Linked DNA regions of Stegostoma tigrinum. The protein of the gene in region 2 binds, or shares a complex with, the protein of the main gene of each other region. Links are inferred from orthologs where the notes say so. Each region holds a gene or a part of one and is shown on either strand. Other genes may lie near its edges. The genes, in order: mlst8, mapkap1 and rictora.

The links.
Region 1: the proteins of mapkap1 (region 2) and mlst8 are in contact, whole or in part, in a cryo-EM structure (PDB 7PE8), measured with the Homo sapiens proteins. The link is inferred for Stegostoma tigrinum from reciprocal best matches to the Homo sapiens genes MAPKAP1 and MLST8. Residues at the interface, in NP_001006618.1 of Homo sapiens: Lys102, Cys103, Lys104, Asn105, Ile106, Gln107, Trp108, Lys109, Arg111, Asn112, Ser113, Lys121, Leu123, Phe124, Glu125, Lys126, Lys127, Ser128, Leu129, Gly137, Lys138, Gln139, Ser140, Ile141, Leu142, Val144, Arg145, Leu146; in NP_001186102.1 of Homo sapiens: Ala29, His30, Pro77, Ile78, Ile79, Ser80, Tyr81, Asp82, Gly83, Arg98, Arg110, Ile111, Trp112, Gln120, Cys121, Gln122, Arg123, Ile124, Asn139, Gln140, Ala141, Leu157, Lys158, Ile203, Glu206, Ser279, Gly280, Asp281, Gln283, Asp322.
Region 3: the proteins of mapkap1 (region 2) and rictora are in contact, whole or in part, in a cryo-EM structure (PDB 7PE7), measured with the Homo sapiens proteins. The link is inferred for Stegostoma tigrinum from reciprocal best matches to the Homo sapiens genes MAPKAP1 and RICTOR. Residues at the interface, in NP_001006618.1 of Homo sapiens: Ala2, Phe3, Leu4, Asp5, Asn6, Pro7, Ile9, Ile10, Leu11, Ala12, His13, Ile14, Arg15, Gln16, Ser17, His18, Thr20, Ser21, Asp22, Asp23, Thr24, Met26, Cys27, Met29, Val30, Leu31, Ile32, Asp35, Val36, Ser84; in NP_689969.2 of Homo sapiens: Arg108, Gln137, Glu140, Thr144, Leu147, Arg148, Arg151, Lys152, Thr155, Arg182, Met183, Arg185, Ala186, Ala189, Cys192, Glu193, Leu196, Leu220, Arg222, Ile223, Glu225, Ala226, Leu227, Thr229, Thr230, His233, Asn236, Arg293, Trp295, Glu844.

What each region holds. Positions count from the first base shown.
Region 1 is NC_081376.1:20,632,939-20,640,089, forward strand, and holds the start of mlst8 (target of rapamycin complex subunit lst8), read left to right. Parts: upstream 1-4,048; 5' UTR 4,049-4,273; exon of another isoform or gene 4,274-4,705; intron 4,706-6,287; exon of another isoform or gene 6,288-6,420; intron 6,421-7,151. Other genes in the region: zgc:113333 (beta-N-acetylhexosaminidase), read right to left, coding at 1,028-1,049.
Region 2 is NC_081382.1:27,184,108-27,191,102, forward strand, and holds the start of mapkap1 (target of rapamycin complex 2 subunit MAPKAP1), read right to left. Parts: upstream 3,038-6,995; 5' UTR 2,814-3,037; intron 1-2,813. UniProt on the Homo sapiens protein: Component of the mechanistic target of rapamycin complex 2 (mTORC2), which transduces signals from growth factors to pathways involved in proliferation, cytoskeletal organization, lipogenesis and anabolic output.
Region 3 is NC_081356.1:134,468,238-134,475,312, reverse strand, and holds the start of rictora (rapamycin-insensitive companion of mTOR), read left to right. Parts: upstream 1-4,032; 5' UTR 4,033-4,112; coding exon 4,113-4,161; intron 4,162-4,415; coding exon 4,416-4,463; intron 4,464-7,075. UniProt on the Homo sapiens protein: Component of the mechanistic target of rapamycin complex 2 (mTORC2), which transduces signals from growth factors to pathways involved in proliferation, cytoskeletal organization, lipogenesis and anabolic output.

The DNA.
Region 1 (7,151 bases), on a different chromosome or scaffold from region 2:
TTAAATTCCAATTTGCATAAATATTGGCCAATGCAGCAGGGAGAACTCCCTTTCAGATGGTGTCATTGGATTTGTTTATCCACCAAAACGACTCATTGTCTATGTTTCATCTGAATGCAAAAATGCAGCATTCCCTCGGTTCTGCACTGGAGTGGCAGAAACGCTGATCACATGCGCAGCTTCTAAGCAACGTCTTCCAGTAGGGAAGAATTCTTACGCCTATAAGCAGCAAGAACATCACAACTTTTCCACAACTCCCTTTTTTTCTAATCCATTAAACACGAGTTTGCAGGAAAATACGTCAAAATGGAACCGTAGCGTGTAACTAAAGATGATATTGCCATTAAAACGAGCCTTTCATTTGAACTTGGCTGGGGCTTTGCTATAATGCAGTCTCCAATACAGAACCAATGGACCCAGAGATTAATACAAAGACCCCTATCTCAGTAACATTCATCATAGCAGAAGCTACCTGAGCCAACTCACGTTGTGCTACGATCTGAATATTCAAATAGTGATCCACACAAACAGTTCTATCAGGGGGGTTTGTCAACCCGTTGAACGTATGTTCTCGAGATAACAATATTTGACATTTCGCTCTCTCACCACTTCCCGCCCATTTACAATATGGTAATAAAATTAGAAGAATATTGAACGCAGCTATGCACCCAACAGCTTCCCGGAGATGCATTTTTTTTAAAATCCTGGGGATTCTAGGGCACTCCTGGAGGGTTGGCAACCTTTATCACTGTCGGGGCTGATTCCAGCCTTAACTGCTAAATCTCAAGTGAAATGTAAGCAAAACATTGTAGTCTGTAATTCTTCAGTAATTGCAATTAAATCTTGTAATGTGCCACGAATCCTCAGAACGTGATTCTGGGATATTCCGCCTGACGACGAGCAGTGATTAAATAGAGATAAAGTCTCCTCCCATTGCTAAGTCCTGTGAGGACAGATTTGACCCAATGGAGTCTTCAGCTCGCACTGATGTGAGATCAATTCCCCGTCTCCAATACTGAATACCCACCACGTTCCCGTCGTCCAGGCATCTCCACTCGCCTGTTTCGTGTCTCTGCCAATGCTGCTCTCCTTTTCCGCTTCCCGCAGCTCACTTAAAGCAAGCCACCCAATTCTCGCTCTTTCACTTTCGGCATTTATCGTCGTAGGACCTAAATACCTTGCACCTGCGCAAAGTTAGTTAAGAATTATGTATTGTACAAAATAGTCAATACAGAAAATAATAATATGCAGTGTACAACATCAATGTCTCTAGTGCATTTTATATAAGACAAATAATCCACAAAAGAACCTCTAAATTCAAACGCTATAACGAATAGTCAAAATGCTCACCCTGCTGTCTCGGAATAATTGTGTGTCGCTACGATTGGAGAGTCTAGGAGATGGAATACCACTGAGATATAACGTGGTAAACTATTTCCCACAGACAGGCCAGGAACAATTGAAGTATTCAGTTTTTTAAAATCACGTTTTAGACCTTTCTAACATGCTTTGCAAGCAGTGATTTTACTCCGAGAGCCATCGCACAAAATGACCCAAAGAGCTTCATGGCCAATTAAATATATTTCAACTGTTGTTTTTATTGTAACATAAAATAAGCTAATTTATACGTGGAAAAGTCTGACATTGAGCTTTGAGATAAATGATTAGATAACCTGTTTGTGATACTGATTGAGGGATAAACAATAGCCAGCAAAGCAGGAGTATCCCCTCGCTGTTCTTTGCAAAGTGTTGTGGGGTCTTTTGCTTTTACCTAAATGGCTCGACAGGGTCTTCATTTAACATGGGCATCCAGCATAGCAGCACTTTCTCAGTACTGTACTGAAGTGTCAACCTCAATTACATAGAATCGAAATGCAGAAATTGACCGTTCCATTCAACAGGTTTTACCAATATTTATAATGTGCAGGGGTATCTTGCAACTGTAAATATATCTCACTGTTCCACACCCATATGAGGTTGTTGACTTGCTCGCCGAGCTGAACGAGAACAAGCCAGCTCGGCGAGCAAGACGACAATCTCACCCACAACCCGAGCTACAGATCTTTGCCAAAGCTTTAAATCCACGCCCATTTCCCTCTATTCTTATCTTCATTATATCTTCTCTTAAACCTAGTAAATTTAACTCTAACAACCACCGCATGTCGGAATGAATTCCACATTGACATTTCACTGTCCTACTTTTTTGTGCCTTGGATGCATTTGGGTGCTTTTCCACTTTTGTCGAGTAAGTGTCAGTATTGTATTGTTCCGTTGTTTCTTGAGAGGTTCAAGCTTGCTGAGCATTGTTGGAACTTCATTCGTCAAGGCAAGGAGAGAGCATTCAATTAAATTCCCACCTTGTTGGCAGAGAACGGGATTTTGGGGGGTCATGAGGTGATTTAGTCACTGCTAGAGTTCATAATTTCACAAACCAAATTATTTGTACAGTCAAGATAATAAAATGAGAGGCTGGATGAACACAGCAGGCCAAGCAGCATCTTAGTAGCACAAAAGCTGACGTTTCGGGCCTAGACCCTTCATCAGAAATGGTGGAGAGGGTTCTGAAATAAATATGGGGGGAGGGGGGGTCGAGCGCGGACAAGAGAGTTGCAGTGAGAGAGAGATCCCCTGAGGTTTGTCCGGAGGCAGGACGATAACTTCTTCAGGTTAGGCATCCCTAGAAGAGGCTTTGCATGAGGTCAAAATTGTATCAGAGATAATAGGAACTGCAGATGCTGGAGAATCCGAGATAACGAAGTGTAGAGCTGGATGAACACAAAGCAGCATTTTACTTGTACTTCTTTCAATCTAGTTCACCATATTCGCAGTTCACAATGTTACATTGGTGAGATCCAATACAGACTGGCTTTGTAGAACACTCCCTCTCTATAAAAATGACAGTATTCTTCCAATTGCTTATATTTTCAATAATCTATCTTGCTTCCACGCCAACATCTCCATTCTATAAATAAAGAACTGAGGGGGCTGGAAAGCTAGAACATTACGGAAATTACTCCAAAAACTCACCAAGTCTAGCAGCATGTTTGGAGAGAAATCAGAGTTAACGTTTTGGATGCAGTGACGCTTCTTTAGAATTTCTGTTGTGGTGTTCTTGCAAAGTTTAATGTAAGCTGGAGAACCACCACTTCGCTCTACCTTTAGGTGCTTTACAGCCTTCAGAACTCAGATGTTAAATTCATTAATTTCAGAGAATGATCTCTGTCCTTAATGTTTATTTTGATTTCTCTCGCCCTGTCGCAACGTGTCTCGCTAATTTCTTGTTGGCTTCGCTTTCACCAGAACTGACCTATTTTTCTCTAATTCAAACGAACCACTCGTCCATTTTACATATAAAACTCTCCCTTGCTACGAGAAGTGTACCCTTTGTCTTTAGTTCCGGATTGCCTCACCATCCGTCGCACTTACTCATCTTTCCCACCTTGCCAAGAGTATTGAAACAATACGTTGTCGCTCCCTTCAAGTCCGAAGAAGTCTTTGGATTCGAAAAGTTAATTTTGCTCCCTGTTCACAGATGCTGTCAGACCTGCTGAGATTCTCCAGTATTTTCTGGCTTTTTTAAAAAAAACATTCTTTCGGATATTGAATTTAATTTCGTCACTTATTCAGCCACCTCTGTTTAGATTTTCCTGTGTTTTGATACAGCCCTTCACGATATTATCTAAACCCACTCCTATATGATGTAAGCCGATGTAAAATTTTGATACAATTCCTCCAATTTCTGGGTCTGAACTACGTGGACAATAATGCACCAGGTGCGACAGCTTCATGTTTATCCGTCCAAGAGCCTTCCACCAGGTCCGAAGTTTTTCAAAATTACCAGTGCTTCTCCCCTCAAAATATCTGTGTTGACCATTGTGTCACTTTGTCTAATTGTCTGTCCTTTTTGCTCTATGTCTCCTATTTTTGTGCTTTGCGAATGGCTGATATCCGAATACTGAGCTACTTGAGTTGGTTGTCACCTTGGGTAAAATTTGATGCTACGTTCGGTGAGTCGGGCACTAGGACAGACGTACTGCAAAGGTGCATCAAATATTCACACTGTTTACGAAGAACCCACAGCCTGCTCTGGGATCAGAAATGTCAGGAGTGGTGCAACAGCAACATAAATGGCAAACGGATCGAAGATTGTGATTCTGGATTTACTGCTCGAAGTCAAAGAGATCAAAACATTTCATTCTTCATCAAGTGGAATTTAGTAATTTCTGTCTCTGATCTCTGCTACAAGTTTGCGTTGCCATCATGCACTGATGGGGTGATTCTTCTCTGCTATCTATGATTTCAGTTGAATTTAGGACACTAGAAATCTACGAACGCCAGGATTGTAACTGTAGATGATGCGGCACAATAAAATAATAAACACCCCACTGTCCAAATTCCATCAATAATCGCCCTGACAGCAAGAATATCCTAATGATCAATTCCACACGCGCTCGCTCGCTGAAGGGAAGGGATGAGCAGCTCGGGCGGACCGATTGATAGTGGGTGGTGCGGCAGACCGGCGCATTTAGATGAATGAACCAGCGGACAAATGTAGAAACGGACCAGACTTCCGGTTGTGAGTAGAATTTGCAGAGAGTGAAGTAAAGCAAGGGCTGAGCTGAAGGACGGTGAACAGAACCCCGCTGTCGGACTGCATCGAGTCCAGGGAGGGTAGGACTGATGACGGAGTCTGGGTTTACTAAACGTCAGTTTTCCTGCTCCTGAGATGCTGCTTGGCCTGCTGTGTTCATCCAGCTACACACTTTGTTATCAGAGATAATGGGAACTGCAGATGCTGGAGATTCCAAGATAATAAAATGTGAGGCTGGATGAACACAGCAGGCCAAGCAGCATCTCAGGAGCACAAAAGCTGACGTTTCGGGCCTAGACCCTTCATCAGAGAGGGGGATGGGGGGAGGGAACTGGAATAAATAGGGAGAGAGGGGGAGGCGGACCGAAGATGGAGAGTAAAGAAGATAGGTGGAGAGGGTGTAGGTGGGGAGGTAGGGAGGGGATAGGTCAGTCCAGGGAAGACGGACAGGTCAAGGAGGTGGGATGAGGTTAGTAGGTAGCTGGGGGTGCGGCTTGGGGTGGGAGGAAGGGATGGGTGAGAGGAAGAACCGGTTAGGGAGGCAGAGACAGGTTGGACTGGTTTTGGGATGCAGTGGGTGGGGGGGAAGAGCTGGGCTGGTTGTGTGGTGCAGTGGGGGGAGGGGATGAACTGGGCTGGTTGAGGGATGCAGTGGGGGAAGGGGAGATTTTGAAACTGGTGAAGTCCACATTGATACCATATGGCTGCAGGGTTCCCAGGCGGAATATGAGTTGCTGTTCCTGCAACCTTCGGGTGGCATCATTGTGGCAGTGCAGGAGGCCCATGATGGACATGTCATCAAGAGAATGGGAGGGGGAGTGGAAATGGTTTGCGACTGGGAGGTGCAGTTGTTATCTCGGATTCTCCAGCATCTGCAGTTCCTACTATCTCTGTAACAGTGAGGTTTTGTTTAACAACAATTCGGCAAATCGTTAAATCATTAGAGATAATGGGAACTGCAGATGCTGGAGAAACCAAGATAACGAAGTGTGGAGAGATAATGGGAACTGCAGATGCTGGAGAATTCCAAGATAATAAAATGTGAGGCTGGATGAACACAGCAGGCCCAGCAGCATCTCAGGAGCACAAAAGCTGACGTTTCGGGCCTAGACCCTTCATCAGAAAAGGGAGATGGGGAGAGGATTCTGAAATAAATAGGGAGAGAGGGGGAGGCGGACTGAAGATGGATAGAGGAGAAGTTAGGTGGAGAGGAGAGTATAGATTTCGGGCCTAGACCACTGTCTCCTCTCCACCTATCTTCTCCTCTATTCATCTTCGGACCACCTCCCCCCCCCCTATTTATTTCAGAATCCTCTCCCCATCTCCCTTTTCTGATGAAGGGTCTAGGCCTGAAATGTCAGCTTTTGTGCTCCTAAGATGCTGCTTGGTCTGCTGTGTTTATCCAGCTCCACAACTTGTTATTACAGTTTGCCTTATGAACGTTTGAATTGGGACCAGCCTTCCTGGTCCCTAGAGCCTGCTCGCGCAATTACATAAATTCATGGTTAATCTGATTACTCCTCATTTCAGTCTGCCCCAATAACTAACTCCAACCCCGCTTCCAAAGAATCAATCAACCTCCGTCTTAAAATATTAACAAAAATATCCACTTGTACCACCTCTGAGGAAGAGAGTTCCAAAAATGATTGAAGATATAAAATCTCCTAATTTATTTATTAAATGGGTGTTCTTTTAGTTTTGAACAGCAACCCAGAGTTCTGGATTTTCCAACTAGAGGAAACATCCTTTATATCCTGTCAGAACCTCTCAGGATCTTGTGTACTTCAAAGAAGTCACCTCTTTCTCATCCAAACTCTCCTGAATACCAGGTGAGCTTGACCACTTTTTCTTAAGAGTCTACCTGTTGCTTTTGGGAATGAGTCAGTTAAATCTCTAAACTGCTTCCCATGCGTTTACTTGCTATCTTAAATAAGAAAACAAATTCTGTATGCCACTCCAGACATGATCGTATCAATGCTTGTTACAACTGAACCATAACCTCCATACTTAATATATTAAATTTCTGTTGCAATAAATTATAACATTCTGTTACCATTGTTAATTACTTGCTGTTTCTGCATATTAACTTTTGTGATTTGTGTATTAGGACACATTACTTTGCAACTCTGTAATTGCTCACTATTTAAAAATGCACTTTTTTATTCTTCACACAAAATGGACAATTTCCCCTGTCCTCAAGTTGTCACGTACCCTCCTTTTTCACGTAACTTATTTATATATATTAATATATACCTTACCTACATATGTAGCCTTCATATTTCATGTTTACAACTTGCCTTCCTACCTTTCTTTGTGTCATCAGCAGATTTAGCAACCATAATTTCAATATCTTTATCTAAAGTAACATATAAATTGTAAAAAGCTCAGCACTGATCCCTGTGGCACACTACTTGTTACATCTTGCCAAACAAGAAAAGACCTACTTATGCCTACTCGTTCTTCCCTGTTAGCTGCTAAATCTACTAGTCTTGCTGATGTATTACCACCTGCATCATGAGTCTTTAATTTCTGCAATAACTTTTGGTGTGGCACCTTATCA
Region 2 (6,995 bases):
CTTTCCTCCTTTAAAAGATTCCTTAACACCTTCCTCTGACACAAGGCTTTCAGTAAGTCTCCTAACATTCAGTTTCAAAGTCATCTTTCGACCAAAAACATTAACTCTATTTCTGTCTCCACTTCCACTGCATGATCTGCTGGGTTTCTCTAACATCCTCAATTTTATTTTTACTCCACATAGTATCTTCTTCGGCTTGGCATCATTTTTTAGCTGATCATCCTTCCGTGAAGCACTAGGCCCAATGTTAAAGGTTATAATAAATTAGAAAGCAATTAAGTTCTTGCTCCCCAAAAACAATGTTGAAATTTCTTCTCTAAAAAGGGAAAGCAAAACACAAAGTAGAAGCAGAAAAAAAGCAAATCAGCATAAAATATTCATGATATTTGTATATTTTCAATGTACAAAAAGAGAGTCCTCACAAGGAAATACCTCTCACTTTTATTTTGCTATTCACTGCTGAAACTGGCAAAGCTTGTTATGAGAAAAATGCAACAGATTTCCTAAATCATGCAAACATAGTGAGGTGCATGCATTACTTTTACACTATCACCATCCGATTCTTAATCAGCTTTAGCCAACCCGTCCAATGTGGGTTCTCTCGGACCTTCATAGTTTCAAAACATCCATCATCGACATGACAAAAGTCAAAAGTGTTATGGAATACTTCCACTCGTTTCAAGTTCGCTTCCAACAACACCACACCCTGTATACAATCCAAGGTAAAGCAGCATGCTTGACTAGCATCCCCACCTTAAACATCCATGACCTCCATAACCAGCGCAGAGCACTGTGACCAAGATAAACTGTAACAAAGCACCATAGCTCCTTCATCAGCACCACTGGCACGGACAGCAAAGAAACGGGAATCACCATTCCCTCAGAGTTTACCATCAAGCTGACTTGGAAATATATAACCATGCTTTTGTGGTCACTGGAGCAAAATAACGCTTCATCAATAGCACCAAGAGAGGACCTACATCACAGCAGCTGAATTGGTTCAATGCAGCTGGGCACTACCTTCTCAAAGGCAGTACGGAATGGCCAATAATGCTGGTCTTACCGGCAACACTTATCCTGTGAGCATAAATTAGAAAATACTTGCATGCTATTCTCTAACATGATATTTGAGAAGGTAATGCAATTCAAACGTTGAAGTTTGGCAGTGTCAAAATAGTATACCAAAAATAAAACGGCAGGTCAGAAGGTTGCCCAAGTGTGTGTTTGTCGGGAGTCAGGATGGAAGAAATATCAGCTATAAAACAGCAGGCAGACTTAGTTAACTAGAGAAATTCTAAGTGAGAAATTAGCTTAAATGCCTGTTTGAGGATAGCCCAGAGCAACTATGTTATCATGGAAATGGCTATAACTTAGAAAGGCTCTCAAGCCTCAGTTTATTTGGGTATTTCCTGGAGAGGTTTTTGATTGCAGTTTAGACCTTATATGGTTTGCAGATCACAACGCCAGCCAAAATTATTAAAAGCTAGACCTGTACTGTACACAAATTAAAACACAGACGTTACCATTTACCACAGAGAAGTTGGGTCAGACTTAATACCAGTTTGAATCTTCTGAAGGAGGAAGATAATAGGTCAGCGCAACATCGTAGGCTGAAGGGCCTGTACTGTACTGTTCTATGTTCTACTGCTGTAATAGCTTCAACTGAGGCAATATACTGTCGGTGAATTATTGCTAAAGAAAGGAGCAGAAGATTAGCATGAAAGTACTAGAAAAGTATTCAGAACAAGAGATTGAAGTCTCCACAGTCAAGAGAAAGTAAGTTAAAGTTCTATTTCTAAGAATTGTCATAGTTGACAAAAATTCTCCACAGGACTGTGGCATACTGTCCATATCATACAATCCCTAGTGTGGAAGCAGGCTATTCGGTCTACTGAGTTAAAAGACGAGTTCCAAACAGCATCTTTCAAATAACTTCAAAATATATACTTCTCAAAAGAATGAGCTAAGAAAGTAAACTTGAGCATATACAGGTATAAGCTAGTGTCAATCTAATCATACATGCTAATTTTTTTGTTAAAAGATGAAATCTTGCAGTGTAATTCTACAGTTTAAAATGAGGTTTTTGAATTTTTCAAAATGTTTGATGATCCCTAACTAGCTACCACAAAAGTGAAAACGAAAAGCTCTACGAACTTCTATCCCTTGTTTACGATTTATAATTTGAATGTGACAGCTTCAAACATCAAAAAAATCGTACAAATTGAATATCAGATTCCATCCATAACATGAAATAAAAAAAATTTAGAGGGGCCATGCAAAATCTGTGCGTAGCTTTCAAACACAAGAAGCGTTGTCCTCTGAACCCTTTGCCACTGCTACAGTCTTGTTTACTCCTACACATCCATTAACGTATACAAAATGATCACAGTCAATGACTAATCACATTGGCATTGTATTCTTAGTTGCCACGTATAGTATAAATCAGAGAATAAACCAGTGTAACGGGTGTGCCATCTATCAGCTTTGCAGAGCGGGGGTGTTTTTCTGGATAGCGTTGTTTTACTCCTAATAACATATTTACGAGGAATTTTGAACAACTTGGGACAAGACTACTTTGACCCCTGAAAACCACAACAGGCCTAATGAGCTGCATTAAAGGCGACAGATAAATAAACTCTGCTTTTTTCACCAAAGATAGAGACGAAATGTTGTAAACAAACTGGATCAAGTGAGTAGGAGCCGTGCATGTGACGGAGGCCGGCGGTAAAGCTGTTGCTCTAGCAGCAGGCTCCACCAGCGGCCTAGTCCGAGGAACTCACACTGACAGGTAGCAAACTCGAAGAAAAACATACCGTCGATTTCAGCACTTCTTGACGGTTGGTCAGGCTTTCAAACACGTGTGTCACCTGTACATAGCCAGCGCTTCCTTCGGCATTGAAAATCTCAGATAGTCGCCTTATTACCACTGTTTACAGAGAATATTCCGGACACGTCAACCATACTCCCAAACCCGTACCTCGGCCCGGAACGCTATCCGCCGTGGATTGAACACTCAACCGCACTCGGCTACGAGGGCGGGACCGACACACAACTCAACCTGCTGCCGGAAAGCCAGCATGGATTGGCAGCAGCAATGCTCAATCAGATTGAGTCCTCCTGGGGAGTCTCATCACTGATTGGAGTATTGGGGAAACTTGTACCAATCAATGAGGAGCAGGAAAGGTCTTGCGCTGGCTTGTAGCAGGTTGCTGTGACCGGTGCTACCTTGCTGTGTCCGAGGCTCAATTGTTTTGAATTGAGCTACTGGTGGGCGTCTGCTTTTCTACCTTGTATTGCCCTGTTTATGTCTACAATGTACTGTTGTTATTTTCCTCCTCCAAAGAGTTCATTCTACTCCCAATACTTTATTTATATGCATGTTTTAATAGAGTAAATCATTGTATAACTTTGCTACTTAAGTTCTTTAATTGCTGTACAGGTAAACTATAGATACGATCTCTGGAAAATTTGCACTGGTTTGCTGACGTGTGAATTCTCGGTCATACAGTTGCAGTAAATTCTAGATGTGAACCATCATTGTTCGTTTTTTGCCTGCAATTGATCAGAATTCTAAAAAACGCTTCTCCGTATGGTCCGAGATGTAGCCAATCAATGTACACAATCTGTGTAAAGTTTGAAGTATGATACTGCACTTCTTCTTTGGAAAGAGACATTTCTGATGGTTTTCAGAAAGGAAGTGTGTGCCTGAAATTCTGATAGTTATTTAAGAAGGTGACATATTGTAAATGGTGGATGTGGTATACATTGACTTTTAGAAAACTTTTGATAAAGTGCAATGCTGAAAGCCAATGACAAACAGTTGAAAGATGTGTGGGGGGCGGTGGTGGTAGGCTGGTTATATTCAAATAGGAGGCATAATAATTCCGAGGACCAGAGTCCCTCAGGAGCTAAAAAGCCTGATAATCAGGCAGAGGACTGAGCAGGAAAGCAGAAGATGGAATGTTAATAAATGAGATGTTCAGTTTTAAAGAAAGCCTTGAATTTATATATTAGCTTTTGCAACTACCAGACATTTCAATGCATTTTACAATCAATGAAGTATTTTTCAAGTGTTGTAAAGTAGAAAACACAATAGCCAATTGTCCATTGCAGGAACAGCAAAGTGATGACAACCAACAAATAATTTTTGTGATGTTCATTGAAGGATTAGCAATAGCCAGAATGCCAACTATCACACATTTGTTTTTACTTTAAAACAGCATTTTGTGTTCTTTTATATCCACCTGAAAGCATGGATGACTTCAACTTAATGTCTCATCCAAAAAAACACCACTCGCAGTGAATCCCTCCACAGTACGACAATGAGTGTTGGCCTAGATTTTTGAATGTGATTCAGAGATGAAAGTGACAGCACTGTGCCACCACTGATACTGCTTCAAGATATTATCCACTTAGTCTAACACTTTTAATTTAATTAGAAAAGCTAATGAAATATTGTTCTATGACAAGGTATAGAATATAAAATTAGCAATGTGATGATAGACCACAATCGGAAATATTTTGTAATTTTAGAATCTGCACTAAAAGAATATGTTGAGGTGGGAGAAAAGGGTACAAGCAGATTCAGCAGGACTTTTCTCATGGCAAGATAAGTAAGTAAAAAAGATGCAGGTGGAGTGCAAGAAAAGCTTTTTTTTCCAGAGGGTTGTGAAAATGTATTATGCTAGGTTCAAAATGAGTGAAGCAGTTTCTATCATTTGGAATTTCTATGGAGATTCTCACTTAACATGAGTGAAAAGTATGAAATTCTGGAGAAATTACAGAAATAGCCAAAAATAAAAGAACTGCAGATGCTGGAAATCAGAAACATCTGAAGAAGAAGGGTCACTGGACCTGGAAGGTTAACTTTGCTTTCTGTCCACAGGTGCTGCAAAAGATTTCTCAGCAATTTATGTTGTTATGGGAATATTTGATTTCTCAAGGTTTTCTGCTGATTTTCCACGGAACATGTGTGGAGCATTGGAAGAATCCTAACTGAATATCTACCTCCATGTAACATTTGTGAATTAATTATTAGGTGGTTGGAGAAAAGGAAAATAAAGTGAACCAGACAGGCTTGTGGGATTTGCACCAGTGTGAAGGATAAACATCACTGTGATTTTGTGGGCCAGATGGTCTGTTTTCAAGGTGTAACTGACTTGCCTGATGCTGTACACTTTCTTTGAAAAAGCTGGGATCAATAAACAAAATGTCAAATATCACATAGTCTGATAGACTGGAAATATTTTGGCATCCAGTGTGGGAATATATTGATTGATATCACAAAAGCAAATATGGAATCCTATAATTATAGACATCTATGCTCTGTTCTAAACTCCAAGTTTTCCCAAAGAGAGCAAAATACTTAAATGCATTTATTTGTATTTATGCTTGGGATATATTCTGTTCATATCTACCAGTACATTTAATTTTCATTAAAAAGTATTTGCATTGTTCCATTTTTGTAAAACAATGTTGTCTATTGTACATAGTAATATTTTTAAGGTGTGATTCCAGGCAAAACACTTTTCGATCAGATGATGTTAACCTTACTTTACATTGAAATTCTGTTTATTTCTTCCATGGTATTATCCCCCTACATCGTATGAACGGGACCAACTAATTAACACAAGTGATAAGCAACATAGCGGATGCTCTTCTTGTCAGTGCTGAAAAATTAACTCAGAACTTTATGCCAAATTTGTGTTTTGTAATTATGTTACTTGTTTTAGATTTGAGTTTTAGTGCAATGATATTTCTATAAGAAAGCAAAATGAAATACATCAAGAAGACAGTCACATATAAAGCAACGTTTGGCCTGTTTTAGATAATATTACGACAGAAAATGCATATATTCTTTTAAAATCTGCAGAAAACTCAGGAAACCATAGAACATCACTAATCACGATTTGAGATAAATATTGAATATTTTTTGAATTAAGCACAATAAATTTCTCCAAAACTAAACAATAATAATTAGTCTTAATTAAATCAATTTTGTACCTCACTATTAACCTTGAAACACCACTCATGATCAAGGGGCACAATGCAAGGTAAAAAGGTAAAGACCTAGTATAGAGCATTGTCAAGCTGGAAAGGGTACAATATAATCAGATAAGTTGGGCTGTAATAAGTTTGTGGCACTGAATATATATGTTTTGAAAGCTAGGGATTATAAGTGGAAGGAAAAGTGTTAGCTGGAGACCCTGTGCAATTGGTTTATATTTCAGCAGGGGAGAGAGGAGAGAAGAGAGATGTTAATGAAAATGGTTACCTTTCTGACAAACATTTCAAACAAAATATACTCTCGCCGTTATAGGATTGAGAAAGTGTGATGTTGCCAATAATCAAGTCTTTTAACAAAATATAGCTTTACATAGAGGTAAATGTTCGTAAAAGGAAATTCAGGATGGAGTCTTGCTAGTCCTTGAATGATGTAGGCTGTCATGAAAAATTTGAGAGAATCATATAAGAAGACCAGCAAGGTCTTCATGTAAATCAGGAGCAACAAGTTACATTTTCCAACAGAGTTCCAGTCAGCGAGTCAAGATTCCTGCTATTGACGTGCAACAGGCCTGACAAAAAGCATTATCGCTCATTATCTTCTTCATTACCACTGAATCTCACTTCATTAACATGCAGATCCCTATCTTACCATATACCAAACTAGGCATGGAGAATTTCCAACATGAAAGTCACAGCAGGCACCACTCCAGCTCCATCTTGCGTACACAACACGAACGCTTCAGGGAACACACCATGGACGATTGCGGTAAGCACCGCATGTCCATTGATGCTTGCATCTGACACATGACAGCCTCTCTACACCATTATGATACATCTTTGATTCAAATATAGTATGCTTCTGCACTGCCATGCTGTGCTTTGGGGCACACGAGAAACTATCACCGGAATGCTACTGCAATGGCACATTTTGCACAGAAACAAGCACCCAGTTCATGAATTGGACCAGGGTGCATCACAGCATTGCTTAC
Region 3 (7,075 bases), on a different chromosome or scaffold from region 2:
ATGAACACAGCAGACCAAGCAGCATCTGAAGAACAGGAAAGCTGACGTTTCTTCCCTTCTTCAGAAGAAGAAAGTCAGCCTGACATTAAATGTGTTCTTCCATTGGTGAAGGTTGACAGCTGGCCCCTCTGCCAACTATGTTGCTGCTGTCCCTCTTGGCTGCCATCCTACTTTATCAGACCCTCTCCTTCTTCCCCATACCCTGAATGTCCCTCAGGGACAAAACCATAAACTGCTGGGAAAACGTAGCAAGTCTAACAGAAATAACAAAGTGTGGAGCTGGATGAACACAGCAGGCCAAGCAGCATCTCAGGAGCACAAAAGCTGACATTTCGGGCCTAGACCCTTCATCAGAAAAGGGGGATGGGGAGAGGGTTCTGAAATAAATAGGGAGAGAGGGGGAGGCAGATCGAAGATGAATAGAGGAAAAGGTAGGTGGAGAGGAGACAGACAAATTAAAGGGGCGGGCATGGATCCTGTAGAGGTGAGTATAGGTGGGAGGTAGGGAGAGGATAGGTCAGTCCAAGGAGGACGGACAGGTCAAGGGGGCGGGACGAGGTTAGAAGGAAGGAAATGAGGGTGCGGCTTGAGGTGAGAGGAGGGGAAAGGAGAGAGGAAGAACAGATTAGGGAGGTGGGGACGAGCTGGGCTAGTTTTGGGATGCAGTGGGGGGGAGGGGAGATTTTGAAGCTTGTGAAATCCACATTGATACCATTGGGCTGCAGGGTTCTGCAACCTTCGGGTAGCATCGTTATGGCACTGCAGGAGGCCCAGGGTGGTCGTGTCATCTAAAGAATGCGAGGGGGAATTGAAATGGTTCGCGACTGTGAGGTGCAGTTGTTTATTGCAAACTGAGTGTAGGTGTTCTGCAAAGCAGTCTCCAAGACTCTGCTGGTTTCCCTGATGTAGAGGCAGCCACAACGGGTACAGCGGATGCAGTATAGCACATCGGCAGATGTGCAGGTGAAGATGTGCAGGAGGCTTGGGGACCACATCCTAAAACCAGCCCAGTCCCTCCGCTTCTTCCTGTCCCACAGACCCAACCAGTCCCTCTCCAACGACATCCTCATCCGCCTAGCCGAACTTGTCCTCACCCTCAACAACTTCTCTTTCTATTCCTCCCAATTCCTACAGACAAAAGGGATGGCCATGGGTACCCACATGGGCCCAAGCTATGCCCGCCTCTTTGTAGGTTACGTGGAACAGTCCCTCTTCCGCAACTACACTGGCCCCAACCCCCACCTCTTCCTCTGTTACATTGATACCTGTATTGGTGCCGCCTCGCGCTCCCAAGAGGAGCTCAAACAGTTCATCCACTTCACTAACCCCTTCCGCCCCAACCTTAAGTTCACCTGGACCATCTCCGACACATCCCTCACCTTCCTGGACCTGTCTCCATCTCAGGCAACCACCTAGAAACCGATGTCCATTTCAAGCTCACCGACTCCCACAGCTACCTAGAAATCAACTCCACACACCCACCTTCCTGCAAAAATTACATCCCCTATTCCCAATTCCTTCACCTCCGCCGCATCTGCTCCCAGGATGAGGCTATCCACTCCCGTACATCCCAGATCTCCTCGTTCTTCAAGGAGCGCAACATCCCCCTGCGGTGGTCGAGAACGCCCTCAACCACGTCTCCCGCATTTCCCGCAACTCATCCCTCACACCCCGCCCCTGCAATAACTGCCAAACGAGAATCCCCCTAGTTCTCACATACCACCCCACAAACCTGTGGATACAACGCATCATCCTCCGACACTTCTGCCATCTACAATCCAACCCCACCGCTAAAGACAGTTTTCCATCCCCACACTTCTCTCTGTCTGCCTTCCGGAGAGAACACTCTCTCCGCGATTCCCTTATCCGCTCCACATTCCCCTCCAACCCCACCACACCCGGCACTTTCTCCTGCAACCGCAGGAAGTGCTACACTTGCCCTCACACCTCCTCCCTCACCCCCATCCCAGGCCCCAAGAAGACTTTACACATCAAGCAGACGTTCACCTGCACATCCGCCAATGTGGTATACTGCATCTGCTGTACACTGTGTGGCTTCCTCTACATTGGGGAAACCAAGCGGAGGCTTGGGGACCGGTTTGCAGAACACCTATGCTCGGTTCACAGTAAATAACTGCATCTAGTATAGAGAGATAATGGGAACTGCAGATGCTGGGGAATCCAAGATTATAAAGTGTGAAGCTGGATGAACACAGCAAGCCACGCAGCATCTCAGGAGCACAAAAGCTGACTTTTCGGGCCTAGACCCTTCATCAGAGAGAGGCCTGAAACGTCAGCTTTTGTGCTCCTGAGATGCTGCTTGGCCTGCTGTGTTCACCCAGCTTCACACTGTATTATCTTGCACCTCGTATAAAATAGTTTAAGTTAGATGGGCTTGAGATCGGTATGACAGGTCAGCACAACATCGAGGGCCGAAGGGCCTGTACTGTGCTGTAATGTTCTATACCTCATTGTCGCAAACCATTTCAGCTCCCCCTCCCATTCCTGAGATGGCATGTCCATCATGGGCCTCCTGCAGTGCCACAATGACACCACCGATAGGTTGCGGGAACAGCAACTCATATTCCGCTTGGGAACCCTGCAGCCCAATGGTATCACTGTGGGTTTCACCAGCTTCAAAATCTCCCCTCCCCCCACTGCATCCCAAAACCAGCCCAGTTCGTCCCCTCGTCCCTAAACTGTTCTTCCTCTCACCTATCCCCTCCTCCCAACACACCTCCGTTTCCTACCTACTAACCTCATCCCACCCCCTTGACCTGTACGTCCTCCCCGGACTGACCTATCCCCTCCCTACCTCCCCACCTATACTCTCCTCTCCACCTATCTTCTTTTGTCTCCATCTTCAATCTGCCTACCTCTCTCTCCCTATTTATTTCAGAACCCTCTCCTCATCCCCCTTTTCTGATGGAGGGTCTAGGCCTGAAACGTCAGCTTTTGTGCTCCTGAGATGCTGCTGGGCCTGCTGTGTTCATCCAGCTTCACACTTTGTTAGAGATAATGGGAACTGCAGATGCTGGAGATTCCAAGATAATAAAATGTGAGGCTGGATGAACACAGCAGGCCAAGCAGCATCTCAGGAGCACAAAAGCTGACATTTCGGGCCTAGACCCTTCATCAGAGAGGGGGATGGGGGGAGGGAACTGGAATAAATAGGGAGAGAGGGGGAGGCGGACCGAAGATGGAGAGTAAAGAAGATAGGTGGAGAGGGTGTAGGTGGGGAGGTAGGGAGGGGATAGGTCAGTCCAGGGAAGACGGACAGGTCAAGGAGGTGGGATGAGGTTAGTAGGTAGCTGGGGGTGCGGCTTGGGGTGGGAGGAAGGGATGGGTGAGAGGAAGAACCGGTTCGGGAGGCAGAGACAGGTTGGACTGGTTTTGGGATGCAGTGGGTGGGGGGGAAGAGCTGGGCTGGTTGTGTGGTGCAGTGGGGGGAGGGGATGAACTGGGCTGGTTGAGGGATGCAGTGGGGGAAGGGGAGATTTTGAAACTGGTGAAGTCCACATTGATACCATATGGCTGCAGGGTTCCCAGGCGGAATATGAGTTGCTGTTCCTGCAACCTTCGGGTGGCATCATTGTGGCAGTGCAGGAGGCCCATGATGGACATGTCATCAAGAGAATGGGAGGGGGAGTGGAAATGGTTTGCGACTGGGAGGTGCAGTTGTTTGTTGCGAACTGAGCGGAGGTGTTCTGCAAAGCGGTCCCCAAGCCTCCGCTTGGTTTCCCCAATGTAGAGAAAGCCGCACCGGGTACAGTGGATGCAGTATACACTTTGTTATCTTGGTTTCTCCAGCATCTGCAGTTCCCGTTACCTCTGATACAAGTCTAACAATCTGTGGAGAGAAAGCCAAATTAACGTTTCTAGTGCAGCACCAAACCACCAAACCCCTTATTCCTGGAGCACGCCCCCTTCCTAAAGACCCACCCCTAACCCTGGAGACCCGCCCCTCCACCCTTACACCCCACCCCACCTCCCCATTCATTGAGCCTGGGCCCGGGCCAGGGCCGTCCTCTCGCGAGAGCTGCCCGGCGTTTCCGGTGTTTTTGTGCGGCCCCAGGCCGGGCGGGCGGGCAGAGAGGCGAGAGTCCGTGAACATGGCGGTCAGCGTTCGCGGCCGCTCCGTTAGGAGCCTCCGCATCAGAGGTACATTACCCTCAGTCGTCAGACCCGGCCGGCAAGGCATAGACCGATAACCAGAACAAAAACAAAAAACCCTCAGCAGCGGCAATTAACGACGCTCGCACTTTAATAACGGCCCCGTCGAATGTTGTTTGTTTATGGAAATAAAATGTATGACTTACCGGCCACCTTAACTGAACCATCCTTAATCGTATTTGTTTTCTCTCTCTCTCTCCTCTGCACATATCTTCTTATATTGATTTACAATATGCACGCAGGGCGGAATGACAGCGGGGAGGAGAACGTGCCGCTCGATCTGTCCCGAGGTAAGGGGGAAACGGGGCATTTTTTTTAAATATGAGGACGGTGGAAGGAAGTAAATAAACAAAATAAAATTCTGTAGGAGGTTGGTGATGGCGGATCGTGGTGGGGGAGGAATGGTGTTGGAGCTACGATGAGACGTGAGGGCAAAGTCGCTGCTCCGCTGACCGGAGTGTGAGGGAGACCACAAAACTTTGGAATTATTGTGTAAAGGAGTTGGGGGTGGGGAGGGAACCGGTGGACTCAGTCGGGAGGAGTGGGAAAGTGAAGTTGTTTTTCCTTCTCTCTGACTGTCTCCCGCCGCCCTCGCACCGAATGAATCAGGGGCCGCCGCCTCTCCTGGGCGCCAGCTTTTCAAACACTAACGGCTCCCGGGCCGCGAGCCCCGTCCGTTGGTGGGGAGATTCCACTCGGGGGCAGGAGAGGGGTTTGTGGGATCATTCATCTGCCCCACGCCCCGCCCCGCTCCTCCCCCCCCCCCCCCATCTCTGTTTGTGGTCTCGCCTTTCCACTCCGCCCTGGAGCTGGTTGGCCCTCCACTGTCATTGGGGGCGGGTGGGCTAAAGGGAGAACTGGGTGCATTTTGCGGGGTTGGGGTAGGAAAGAAAGTGAGCTGGGATTTATTGATTAGGAAGGGGACGACGGTGTTGAAGTGGGATGGGAAAAGGGGGGACTGGGAGAGGGCGAAGGATAATGGATAGGGGGAGCAGGCAAGATGGGAATCTGTGTAATCGGATTGGGGGGGGGATGTAAGATGAGGCTGGGGGTAGGGGGAACGTCTGGGACAGATCAAATAGCTGAAAGATGCAATACAGGATTGGACATTGAGGGTATGAAACTGGGCATCGAGGATCTTGAAGTAGTGGGTGGTAAAGAACCTAACAAATAGGAGGAGTAAACACTACAGCCTCTTGAGACCTAAACTTGTTCGACAGTAGAGCGCCTGCAAGCCCCTCTCATCTGTCATTCAAAATATCTGCAGCGATCTTTGTGAGTGTTCAGTTCTGATGGAGTCATCTAGATTCAAAACATTAGCATGGGCTTTCTCCATGGATGCTGTAAGACCTGCTGTGACCTCCAGCATTTCTTGTTTTCAGTTTGTGTGTGTAATTGTTAACTGGCATCCACAGCGCTCTCGGGTACAGAACTCCAAAAATTCATATGTCTTTCAGTGAAATTATGGGTATGGGGCGATAGTGGGAGCGTGGCCCTCAGATGGAGGATCAGCTATGATCATGTTGAAGTGGACTAGTTACACTGAATTGGTTTTGTTTTCTGTATTTTTGTGTTTTCTCATCTCAATTCTAAGTGACCAGTCCCTTAGTCTGAGCCTTTGACTCTACATTCTTGATTTTCTGTATTTTTCTATATGCCCCTTTGCCACTGTCATCCTATTTTGTCTGCCTTCTCCTGCATTGTACTGTACACTTTTTCAGTGAAATTTTCTCTCACCCAGCTTAGTTCATTCTAAGCAAGAGCCATTCTATTCCAATTTCCTCCCCCAAAGTTGTTCCATTCTAGACAAACCAAGCAAGACCTTTCATGTAGCGATACCTCCTGTTATTTCAAGTTAATTAACACCTCAAGCTGTCACTATTTAGGCATGATTTTGTACTCACCAGTGCTCTAAAACTATCCTCTGCCTACTCAGCAAATAAAACCAGCATTTTTCACTGTCCAAAGTAGTGATTTTTTGGCAACGAAAGTCATTAATATTCTCTCAATCCTAAATCTAGTACTGCTAAATTGCAAGGAATGGGTATTTTCTCTTGTTAATGTTTCACATCTGATGCCAGCTGATAACATGTAACATTATTAAATGCATTGTCTGTGCTCGTTTAGAAACAAAAGCAAGTGGTCTCCTGGATGGTGGCTCAGTAGGTAGCACAGCTGCCTCACAGCACCTAGCACCCGGGTTCAATACCAGCCTCGGGCAGCCGTGCAGACTCCACACAGACGTTCTCACAGGGTCGGGATAGGTTTCCTCCTGGTGCTCTGATTTCCTCCCACAGTCCAGAGATGTGTGTTAGGTGGATTAGCCATGGGAAATGCAGGCTTACAGGGAGAGGGTTGGATCTGGATGGGATGCTGTTTGGAAGATCAGCGTGGACTTGAAGGGCTGAATGGTCTGTTCCACAGTATTGGGATTCTGAGCTTCTATCGTGGTGGTACCTGGTCTCCCAGCAGCATTGATTTAGCGAGTGAGTCATGCAGTGCAAGTGCAGTATTTCTGAAAACGCTGACTACTGGTGCCTATGTGTGGAACCTGCTCGGTATCTCTTGCCCAAGTGCTTGTATTGACCCTACTCCATTAATCAGTTCCAGCGCCAGCCTAACCTTTGCCCTATCGCGCTGCTCCGGAGATGCCTTCCCTGTCTGTCAGCTTGCAAACATTGCCTAGTAATGAAGCCTTCAGTGATTTGTTTACGTTTAAAATGGACTCTTAAGTTTTGTGGGAAGTGGCGGCAGTTTCGATGTATTTTTCTGTATTAACGTTTATTGCTTTTTGACTCTGGGTGGAGAAAGGAGGATGATGGGTGCACGATGTGTTTTTTTCGAAACGGCCACGTCCTGAGGGGAGGGACCGGCGACTGCGTCTCCAGCAGCCCGGGCTCTC